Nothobranchius furzeri: one gene and its partners. The protein of the gene in region 2 interacts with the protein of the main gene of each other region in a pairwise test. Links are inferred from orthologs where the notes say so. Each region holds a gene or a part of one and is shown on either strand. Other genes may lie near its edges.

Region 1 (2,751 bases), on a different chromosome or scaffold from region 2:
GCGAAGTAATACTTTGTACTGTGCTCTGTGTGCTTTTTAATATTCATCAGTGAAATAATACACATTTATTCTCAATTTCAGACTCTTCAGCAGAGTGCTCAGCAGATGTTTAAAAAGATTGCACTACTTAAGAAAAAAGCGGAGGAAAAAGCAAAGAACAGCCTCAGCTTAGAGCAGCAGATTCCTGACTTGCAGGCGACTTTGGCAGAGCTTGTGAACGACAAGGGAACAGGTAATAAGAAAAACGATCATTTCAGATACAGAGTGCACACACTGGAGCGGCCTTCTAATGATGATGTGGCTCTTTAGTTATAGCTGCAGACGAAAATGCTGAGAGAAATGCCTGCTACCAGGAAACCGTTCAAAGGAGTAACTTGGAGAGCCTTGCCAGGGAACAGGCAGAGGAACTGCAGTTCCTCTGGGAAGAAGTTGAACATCTGAGGAGGAGGAATTTCCCGTGTTTTGATCTGCCGAAACACTACTGATTAAAAACTTTTCTTCAAAACTTAGAACATGAAATGTACTTTTATTGTGAACGGGAATTATAGAAACACCAAATAAAACTTGCAGTTGTGCTGACTTCTCTTCAGTGTGTTTGTGGTTAATTATGTAGTGAAGTCCTCTTCAGTGCGATCAAAGTGCAGAATGCTGTCCTCCAGCCTGAACAGGTCCATGAGCTCTGACAGGCTTGCCTTGCGTCCATCCACAGGGACCTCTGACTGCAGCTCACACAGAGCAGCCTGAGCACCGCTCCGCCACTTGTCGATCAAGGTTTGCAGCTGTGTTAAATCGTTCTAAAAAAACAATGACTCGTATTAATTCTCAGCCTTGGTGATCACAAATAAAGAGGATGGGGTTAGAAGTAGCTGATACCTTGCTTCTGTACATTTGGACCATCTTGAGTCGGCGCAGAGTCTCTGTTTTTTCTTTCACCTCCTTTCTGAGTTGTTGTGCAACGTCTCCAGAGGAGACAAGTGTGGGTCCGGATAGCCTTTCGCTTCCTGCGTTATCCCTGTTGTGTACCGAGACCGGAGGATCGCTGCCCGTTTCCACTGAAGCTTGATGGCCACCCTGCTCTCCGCTGTCCACGCAGAGGCGTTTGGCCACCGAGAGGGGCGATGTGAAGGAGCGCCTGGTTCTCTTCAGCCTCTCCCTCAGAGAGGAACTCGGCTTCGGATGCTATCAGAGAAACCCGACATGAATCAAGCCTGAAACGTGTTTTAGATTATGATGTTAGCTAATAGTTTACGCACCACTTTAGCTAACAATACTCACCTTTTCCTTTCTAAACTCCTCCGATGGGCTTGACTCGGCTGAACTGTACGATAAACACCGTTCAGTCTTTAATTTGTCTCCTTTGGGAGTGACATCCATCGGTAAAACAGACTTACACTCGTAAAAAATGACTTTGTAGCGCGTTCACAACACAAAATTCTGGTTTTCCGTATTTCCGCGGGTCATGGCCTCCTGCGTGTGTGATTGGTCAGAATTTGATTACGTAAAGCCGAACGGAATTCTGGGAGTTGAAGCCTTTAGGGTAAAATGCATTTAGGCTAGACTTTTATCTTTGAAACCTTTTTATGTGACAGACACAAATAAAAAAACGTTCATACGTTTCAATTTAATTGAAAGATTGAAGGCAGTGCTTAGGGGACATAGGAGGACTATTTTTTTTGCTAAATTTAGTATTTGTTTTATTTAAATATGTCATATATTTGTATACTCTTGTGAATTCGTTCTGTGTGTAACTTCAATATCCATTACTTTGTGTTTTTTAACAAGGCTTAGTTTAAATAAATTTAATTTTTATTCCCATAGGTAAAAAACTTTTTTTTACTAACTTGTGTAAAAAATAACGAAGTAATGGGTCCTATTTTGTGTTCTTTTTTATGCTAGAAATCGGCATTAAAAATGTTAACTAAAACACAAAACACACACACGTTGTGATCGCTCACTTCATAAAAAATTATCACAGGACTGCCCTTCAGCATTTAATGTGTTTTAAAACTCGAGCATACACTGAAGCCACACGATCCTCCTTATGTTTAACTATAATATTTCTTTTCAGTTTGAGTTAATTTCAGAACAAATTGAGATTTTCCATTAAACCCGATGCGAGACAGGACCGCTCCTGCGGGATTAAATGGATAACCTTTTGCACTCAAGCAAAGCACAAAGTAAAAGTGATTTCTAAGGGCCGGCGGACATGCCTGGTACATGCTGCTCTTACTAAAGTTGAGTCATAATTTGCTTCACCCCTTCCCATTAGCTGATTCATCTCTTTTACAGCTACCTATTTATAACTCTTCAAGCCCTTTAAGAGTTTTTTTTCCCCACTTGTATATGATAACTCACTTTTTTGTGTGTGTCTATGCGGCCACGGGGTGTGTGAAAATGTAAATTATGATGCTGCCTGGACTTGAACATCAGTTCTTGGCAGGGCGATATTACACACCCAAGGGAGCTGGGGATTTTTTTACATTTTATATGGATGATTCTCAGAGGGCTGAGGGCTGAAGATAATTACTGTGTGTTAGTCAGTAGACTGTTTGCAGTGTTTTTTTTTTTATCTTACCAAGTTGACATAAAATACTTTGCTCTATTCCCAGAAACAAACATGGAGTAACTGGTGGGGGTTTATTGAATCTAGAGGCGATGTGAGACTTTGAGGATGCCAGAACCTTCATCACATTCTAAATAGGCCACTTATTAGTGCAAATGTGTGCTTTATTTTTAATTTTTTTTGGTGTG
Region 2 (4,273 bases):
GAAACTGTTTTTATCATTTAAGAAATATCTCCAAACTGCGAAGGTTGGTGTCAAAACATGAACTTGTAATGGTCATCCATGCCTTTATCTCCTCCCGACTAGATTACTTTAACACACTTTTCACATGTTTTAACAAGAAAAACCTTGACCGCCTTCAGTTGGGCCAGAACTCTGCAGTGAGGCTTCTAACTGGAGCAAACACAAGAGCTCACAACCCTAATGTCTCTCCACTGGTTACCCGTTAACTTTAGAGTTCATTTTAGTATACTGACTATAACTTTCAATGCTCTACATGGTCAAGCTCCTCCCTATATTACTGAACTGTTAAAGCCTTATGCTCAAACCCGAGCCCTCAGGTCCACACACCAGAACCTTCTAGAAGTTCCAGACTGTTGCACCCCGACTCTGGAATGATCTTCCTTTATCCTTACACAGCATTGACAGTCTGGACACTTTTAAAAATCAGCTGAAGACCCTTTTATTTAAAGCTGCTTTTACCTAAATCTTTTATTTTCTTATTTTTAACTCAAATTTGTAATAATTTTTCATTTGTTTTATGGTGTTTTATTATTTTAGACTTTATTTTTCAGATTTTAATCCATTTCTGTTTTAAGATCATTATGATTTTATGACTTTATGATTTGTTTTGATCCATGTGAAGCACGTTGTGATTTTCTGTCTGAGATGAGTGCTATGTACTTAATTACAACGGCTGTGTTGGCTGAATTTGTCTTGAGAATTCTTTGAACATTTAAAAATTTCTAGGCACAGAGTCAGGCCCTGAGAATCACAAGAAGGAACCAAGAACACTTGAATGTTTGGATAACCTTCTGAAAACTCACTCTGAATGGTGATGCCAGTGTCTCGCTAACAGAGCCCAGTGAGATACTAACTAAATAAAAACTCATGAGCAAATGCAAAACTACAGATTAAAGGTTGTGTAGAGTTAGAAGCCTTGCTCTCTCACCACCAAAGACAAATGTCAGATCATTATGGTGTCCTGACATAATGCTAAACATCTCACCTGATGAAACTAAACACATTTACATGGTTAAAAAAACTGAGCACATGAATGTGTGGAGACAGTCCCCAAGATCCTATTGGATCTGTGTCCAGAAGGATACGAGGTCTGCAGGGCCAGCAGCTGAGTCACCAGCTCCTCCACATGGCTGCTGACCTCCTGACCTGCAGGAGGTGTCGCAGACTGAGATGTTGTTGAGACAATTGGCCAGTGTAGTTGAGTCAATGCGTTTTCAAAATCACTAAAGAGGTTTAAAAAGAAAGAATCAGCTTTTACAGTAGATGAAAGAAGACAAAAACATCCCAGTCTTGGTTGGGATTTGATGGAGCCATACCTGGACAGCTGTTCTTTGATGATATTGTGCCAGAAACAAAGCGTTTTCCTGAGAAACTCCACAAGGTGGGAACATCCTGACTGGTTGAGGCCAGAGTCCAGAGCCGCCATGCTCTCTACAGCTTTTATAGCTTCCCAGACACCGTTGGTCATCAGAAACTGCTGGACTGAAGCACTGTAGACACATAATATTAACATTATGCAGCAGAAATGAGGAGCAGTTTTAAACCTCAGTGATGCATCACTGTAACCTCAACCAACATGTCTCCAAGCCTCTAATCACCCTACCTGAGCTCTCCTATGTAGTGAAGGCACTTTAGATACTTCATGCTTTTCTCCATAGAGTCTACATGGTTAAATGTCTGCCCTAGGTCATCCATCAACTGCCGGGTGCCCTGCAGGTGCTGGAAGATCAGAATATTTAACAGCATCAGTAAAACATCCCTGGATTACAGTGGGGATTGTCACAGAACACCTTAAACAAGCATAGATGATTCAGCTCAGATCGTGTTTCAGATCTTGTATGGGATAGATCAAATACAACTCTGATGTTCGTTCTGCTACTTCAGATTGAAATCTGCTCTTTTGTTGAGCTTCTGCAGTTTCTACCTGCTGCAGCTGACTGGAGACAGATTGTTCTCTCTGCAGCACGTCCTCCAAGGAACACCGGACCTCCTCTGCAGCTGACAGGGATGCTGAGATTTTGGGAGGAACAGAACTGCACACACTCAGAACCTGGAAAGCAAAAACAATGCAATCCCATTCAGCCAGAACCTAAAGGACAAAACATTGTTCTAATCTTTCAGATTGCAAAAAAACACATTTTTATTTAATGTGGTTGAGTTCAGGTTGCAGAATAAATTAATAACCCGTGAGTTAGTGGCTATGAACCCTGACCTGTCAGCACAGTGGTCTTTGATTAAAATTGTATATGTATGCACAAGAGTTCCAGTTCTTTTAATGTTTAAAACTCTATCAAGTGAAATATAGATGATGAACTGTGAGGTCTTATCCACTGAAGCAGTTTTTATTTAGTTCATCTCCTTCATTGTGAAAACATTTGTTTAAATCTTATTTAATGTGCTTTAGGTTCACACCTAATCCACCAGAATGCCACCAAACAGCTGACTTTAACCACAACAGCTCGCTGTTACACACTAATTCGTTAACTTTAAAAACACCGTGTAGTAAATAAAGTTCAGGTTCGGTACCTGCTCCTCCACCAACGCCGTCTCTGTTTTCATTTTCTCCAGCAGCTCACTAACGGCTTCTAAAGACATCAGTTCGCTGCCAAACTCTTGCTCCAAAAAACCCAGTCCGTAGTCCAGCTGGGTCCCAGAACCATCACCGAAACAGTCCGGATCCTGATCCATGTCACGGACAGAATGCCGAAAAGACTCTACAGCTGGTACCGTCGCCATCTTTATTTTTGACAACACCGCCACGCTGCACAGTGAGGAACAACTCACCACTGCCCCCTGCTGTCGGGAAAGGGAAGGTACCAAAACAACACCAGACCCCTATCCTCTTGTCTAAAAACACTAGATGTTTCGGGTTCTTTAACCAAACTTTATTTACAGTGAAAACATTACAGAATTAAAGTATTTGCTTATAATGCAGTAAACAACAGACAACACAACATAAACAGTAATACCAACAATGAAAAGGTACATAAATAATAAAAATTCAAATTAATGACGCTGAGGTCACCAAGGCGATTCAAAAGCTGCTCAATGGCAATGTCTCACGATGGATAAGAATGAGATTCACCCAGAGTTCCTGGATATAGGGTTGCGTTGAAGTGGCTCTGCGATAAACCACCAAACGATTCCCGAGCACAGCTTTGTCTGCAGCTCACCACTCCCCCAGGGATGGGTGTCAAATGCAGAGAACAAATTTCACACACCAGTGTGACAACTAATGGGACTTTGATATTACATGTTTATGTTTATTCATTTAAGAGACGCTTTTATCCAAAGCGACTTACAATTTATAACCTATAGGGCATGTTGGGATCTGTTGAGGAAACCGGAGTACCTGGAGGAAACCCACGCATGCATGGGGAGAAGACGCAACTCCACGCAGAAAGGCCACAGCTGAGTTTCGAACCTGCAACCTTCATGCTGCGAGGCAACAGTGCTAACAACTGTGCCACCATGCAGCATGGACATCGGGGGCAGTCTCGTGGATTGGCAGACCAGGTCGGTGGTTCTTTCTATTTAAAAAGAGGGAGCACAGGGTGTGTTCCAACTAAAGGGGGATCACACTACTGGGCCTCCCTGGTAAAGTCTATTCAGGGGTTCTGGAGAGGAGGGTCCGTCAGATAGTTGAACTTTGGTTTCAGAAGGAACAATATGGTTTTGGTCCTGGCTGTTGAACACTGGACCAGCCCAATATGTTTTGTAGACTTGGAGAAGGTGTTCAACCGTGTCCTCCAGGGAGTCCCGTGGGGGTTACCATGAGAATATGAGGTACCAGCCCCCTTGATACGGGCCGTACGGTCCCTGTATGACCGGTGCCAGAGCTTGGTCTGCATTGCTGGCAGTAACAGCGTTCTGGGTGATAGTTGGACTCCACCAAGGCTGCCCTTTGTCACCAATTCTGTTCATAACTTTTGTGGACAGGATTTCTAGACACAGCCAAGATGTTGAGGGAATCCATTTTGGTGGCCCAAGGATCAGGGTCACTGATTTTTGCACGATGTAGTCCTGTTGGCTTCATCGGGTCGTGATCTTGAGCTTTTGCTGGAGTAGTTTGCAGTCGAATGTGAAGCAGCTATGATAAGAATCAACACCTTGACCAGTACCTTGTCTTTCAATAGGTGTTAAAACATGAACACATGGCTTCATTTTATGGTCTCATTGCTCACTTTTAAAGTTTAAATCATCTGTCCTCGTCATTTTTATCCGATCTCCTCAA
Region 3 (4,094 bases), on a different chromosome or scaffold from region 2:
GTTTTTGGACTGTGGGAGGAAGCCGGAGTACCCGGAGAGAACCCACGCATGCACAGGGAGAACATGCAAACTCCATGCAGAAAGATCCCAGGCCGAGAAGCAAACCCAGGACCTTTATATATATATGCATGGTGGCGCAGTGGTTAGCACTGTTGCCTCGCAGCATGAAGGTCGCAGGTTCAAAACTCGCCTTTCTGCGTGGAGTTGCGTGTTCTCCCCATGCATGCGTGGGTTTCCTCCGGGTACTCCGGTTTCCCCCACACATCACAACATGCCCTACAGGTTATTAAAAAAAAACTTGTACGTCGCTTTGGATAAAAGTGTCTGCGAAATGAATAAACATAAACATACACACACACACATATATATATATACACACACACACATATATATATATATATATATATATATATATATATATATATATATATATATATATATATATATATATATATATATAGAAAGAGAGAGATAGAGAGAGAGAGAGAGACTCAAAAATGTAAGCCTAACTAAAATAGGTTGTTTAAAATGTAAATAGTTTGTACTTACAGACACTCCGTATTTAAGGGCCAGGCCCTGCAAAGTCTCTCCCGGTTGGACGACATGTTCCACGACTCTGCGGCGAACCGGAGACTGTGAAGGTCGGATCAAACTGCCGTAAGATCTGGTTCGGCTTCCGCGAAGGAGGCCCCCTCTCCCGGGAGGCGATGGCTCTCGCTCCCCGGACATTTTGGTGTATCATTTGTGTTTAAACCCGTCCAAGGTGCGGCAGAATACAGAGAGCTGTAAACTTTAGCTTTTACCAGAGAAACATGTATGTAAGAACTAGCACACGACCCAACTATTCAAGCTTCTTTCCTTTTTAAACCTGCTATTTTAAGCTTAGCAATACAGCACCTGCAGCACACACAGGGCCTCTGATGTAAAAACCCCGTTAAACTATATGATAAACCTATTTTACACACCTGAAAAGTTATCGTGAACTTGTTAGCATTTTCTCGTATCTCGTGAAGTCAGCAGCAGCAGTAGCAGCTACGCTGGTTGCCATGGCTGCCTGGGCTGGTCACATGATTCTTAACAAACGGTGCGTTTAATACAATACGAATAACAGAAATCACTTTAAAGTTGTTCGAATTCGTTTTAGGAGTACCTAACGTTTAAACTGTTTCTGCACTTGAGCAGTCTTTTTTAATGATAATTATGAGCGACAAATAATGGATATGATTCAGAAATGTTTGTGCACACTTTAGTTCAAAGCTGAACTCCGTTCTAAATTTGGAGGTTAGAATTTCCCATGCGTCGATTCTTCTGTGAACGCATCAGCAGGGCTAGCCTAGCATTGACAAAAAGCAGCTAATCTGGTTCCAACTTCAGTTTAAGAGTATATGTCATAGCAATGTCTTTTAAAAGAGAGGGGAATGACAAGAGTCAACTCAACATTCTTAAGGTTAAATATTGTTTTATACGTTGTCTGTTTCATTAAATATTATACGTTTGTGTAGTTAGCATCATGTTAGCATCCTGTTAGCTTCCTGTCCTGGGAGCACTCACTATTTCAACTTTGTTGACATTTTTCAGAAAAGGCGTGTGGCCGATCTGCTGTCTCATTTTATTCCTGAAGACGAAGCTGCGCTGCTGAAAAATGGAAGGTGAATTTCGGCTTGACTCACGTTCGGAAAAGAAACAGACATGTTGTTACATTAATAACTGAAAACGTGTGTGGTTTTTTAGATATACTTGTCTGGTGTGCTCCTACCGTCCCGTGTTTGATACGGTTGATGTGCTGACCGTCCACAGGCAAGGGAAGAAGCATCTAGAAGGTAAAAGTGAGCTTAAATGTGTCATTCCCTGTGGGTAAGGGATGAGGTTTGGAAGAACTTTTCTAAGTCAGGTGTTATGATTTTCTTACATTGTCTGACATCAAAGAAACACTTGAAAGTATCTGATGATATTGTGGGAAGACAATAGAACATACAGTCTGATCAATTTGTTTATTACAAATCATTAAAACAACAGCACGTGGTTTTTACTCAAAATCCAAGAACTTCACCCTGAGTTAAAGTATGGAAGAGGATTAAGGCCACTGAAAATAAAACATATGAAAAGAAAGACATCAGATTTTTCCCCTCAGAAATCTGGCTTTAATCTCAGAATTATTAAAGTCACAATCAAGAAAAAAGTCAGAATTCTGAGAAAAATGCCAGAAATCAGAGATTAACTCATTAACTGCCATTGACGACTAAAGTCGTCATTTGCATTTTTTTTACTATGTGGGCGTCGGAACGAGCCCCCGCACCGTGAGAACAAACATTCCAGCTATAAGCTGATCTTCATTCGTGTACGTCACACGCCACGTGATCAGGAAGCAGAAAATCCATGTGTTAGGAGATCGTTTTGGGCCACAGCTGTAAAAAAATAAGTGAGGCGCAAACCGGAAAAGCTTCTGCCGATCACAGTTCGACTACAGATTATGTAAGAATGGATAACACTCGAAACATGTAGATTCTGAAGAAGAAGAAGAAAATATCATTTCTATGGCGCCTCTCAAGATAAAAATCACGAGGCGCTTCACAAAAACAAAAAAATGTAAAAAATATAAAAAAGCATTTAGAAAATGTTTAAAAATTTATTTCAAATGAGCAAAAATAGACAATTGGGATTTAAAAGAAAACAATTTTAAGAAAGAGAGAGTGAATAGGAAAGAGGGAAATCAGTGGATCCTGAGGAAGGTGGAATAGGTGGGGAGAGCAGAATAAAGAGAGAGGGGTTGAAGAAGGCCATACAAAAGCCAGCTTGAACAAGTGAGTTTTCAGCTGCTTTTTAAAGGAGTCCACTGATCTCAGGCTCAAGGAGAGAGAGAGTTCCAGAATCTGGGGGCCACAGCAGCAAATGATCTGTCACCTTTGGTCTTTAGACTGGTGCGTTGCACAACCAGTAGGCTTTGATCACTGGACCTCAGGGACCTGCTGGGGGTGTAGGGACTAAGAAGATCACCAATGTAAGATGGTGCTTGTCCATGTAAGGCCCTATAGACCAGAACCAGAATCTTGAAATGAACCCTGATTCTGCCTGATGTAAGAGGTGAGTCTACTCTTCGTTTTGTTAGTTTTGGCGTTGACATCATCCTAGAGCACAACGTTCATTGACTCTTAAAGAAACAGTAGAAACACTGAAAAACGCTGGCTGCGAAGGGCTTTTCTGATCAGAGAATGGCAGGAGTGTGTCCAGGGAGTGCCCTGGGGTAGCAAATGCCACCCTTGAAATCCCAGGTGCCACCCCACCGAGTTCCATATAAATTGACTTTACATTCTCCACAAAAGGCTTAGGGTTACAATACAATAACCATAGGGGCCACTCGTGCATAAACAAGTGCCCCACCTGGGCCACCCCATTTTAAAGAGCTTGGACACGCCACTGGAGAACGGCTGGCAGTTAGTGAGTTAAAGTCAGAATTCTTTTTTTAAATTTTTTTTCTTCAGTGGCCCTAATTATCTTCAGTATTAGAAAAGACAAAACAAAAACAATCCATAATTACTTGTATACCAAAAAGTGTTTAAAAACCTGAGCAACAAAGAATTAACAGCTGTAAATTAATCATATGCAACTTGTGATGCATTTTAAATATCAAAATGCATACTAAAAAGGGGTTAATAGCTTGTTTTGATTATCGATATTAACATCGCTACACCACTGTACTATAGTTACAGTGGGAGTCATGGCATGGGTGGGGACTTATTTCATTCACACTTCCTGTTAGGAAAACACTTCTGAAAGAGGTGTCACCTGGTGGACCAAGAGAGCGACTCAGAGGCAGTGATAGACAGCACTCCCCTCAACCCCCTCTGCGTGCGCTGTCGGAGTTTCTCTGTCGAAAAATTAGTCATTAACAAGTGCACACGCATGCTCACAGTAGACTTACCTTTCTGCAGTATTCTGGAGAATTTCCTGTTAACTGCGATCATTAGATGAAAAGGGGAGGAGGGCTTTTTTTTAAGGAGGCGAGCGATTCAAAGGCTCTTTAAAGGGACTTTATGGAGTTTTGAATTTTTATGCTCGCGATTGCCCCCTCAGGCCAAAAGCGTAACGGCAGCTTC

Evidence for each region.
Region 1: the proteins of rint1 (region 2) and sfr1 interact in binary tests that used the Homo sapiens proteins (3 or more experiments, as listed by UniProt). The two-hybrid records come from large-scale screens. The link is inferred for Nothobranchius furzeri from reciprocal best matches to the Homo sapiens genes RINT1 and SFR1.
Region 3: the proteins of rint1 (region 2) and scnm1 interact in binary tests that used the Homo sapiens proteins (3 or more experiments, as listed by UniProt). The two-hybrid records come from large-scale screens. The link is inferred for Nothobranchius furzeri from reciprocal best matches to the Homo sapiens genes RINT1 and SCNM1.

Annotation. Positions count from the first base shown.
Region 1 is NC_091752.1:33,773,770-33,776,520, reverse strand, and holds sfr1 (swi5-dependent recombination DNA repair protein 1 homolog), read right to left. Parts: upstream 1,501-2,751; 5' UTR 1,375-1,500; coding exon 1,276-1,374; intron 1,180-1,275; coding exon 874-1,179; intron 795-873; coding exon 606-794; 3' UTR 507-605; downstream 1-506. Other genes in the region: cfap43 (cilia- and flagella-associated protein 43), read left to right, coding at 82-232, 310-485. UniProt on the Homo sapiens protein: Component of the SWI5-SFR1 complex, a complex required for double-strand break repair via homologous recombination. Acts as a transcriptional modulator for ESR1.
Region 2 is NC_091741.1:64,278,003-64,282,275, forward strand, and holds the start of rint1 (RAD50-interacting protein 1), read right to left. Parts: upstream 2,811-4,273; 5' UTR 2,776-2,810; coding exon 2,566-2,775; intron 2,090-2,565; coding exon 1,964-2,089; intron 1,759-1,963; coding exon 1,643-1,758; intron 1,530-1,642; coding exon 1,356-1,529; intron 1,263-1,355; coding exon 1,125-1,262; intron 1-1,124. UniProt on the Homo sapiens protein: Involved in regulation of membrane traffic between the Golgi and the endoplasmic reticulum (ER); the function is proposed to depend on its association in the NRZ complex which is believed to play a role in SNARE assembly at the ER.
Region 3 is NC_091745.1:65,775,979-65,780,072, forward strand, and holds the start of scnm1 (sodium channel modifier 1), read left to right. Parts: upstream 1-1,288; 5' UTR 1,289-1,396; coding exon 1,397-1,447; intron 1,448-1,578; coding exon 1,579-1,649; intron 1,650-1,731; coding exon 1,732-1,820; intron 1,821-4,094. Other genes in the region: lysmd1 (lysM and putative peptidoglycan-binding domain-containing protein 1), read right to left, coding at 550-729. UniProt on the Homo sapiens protein: As a component of the minor spliceosome, involved in the splicing of U12-type introns in pre-mRNAs. Plays a role in the regulation of primary cilia length and Hedgehog signaling.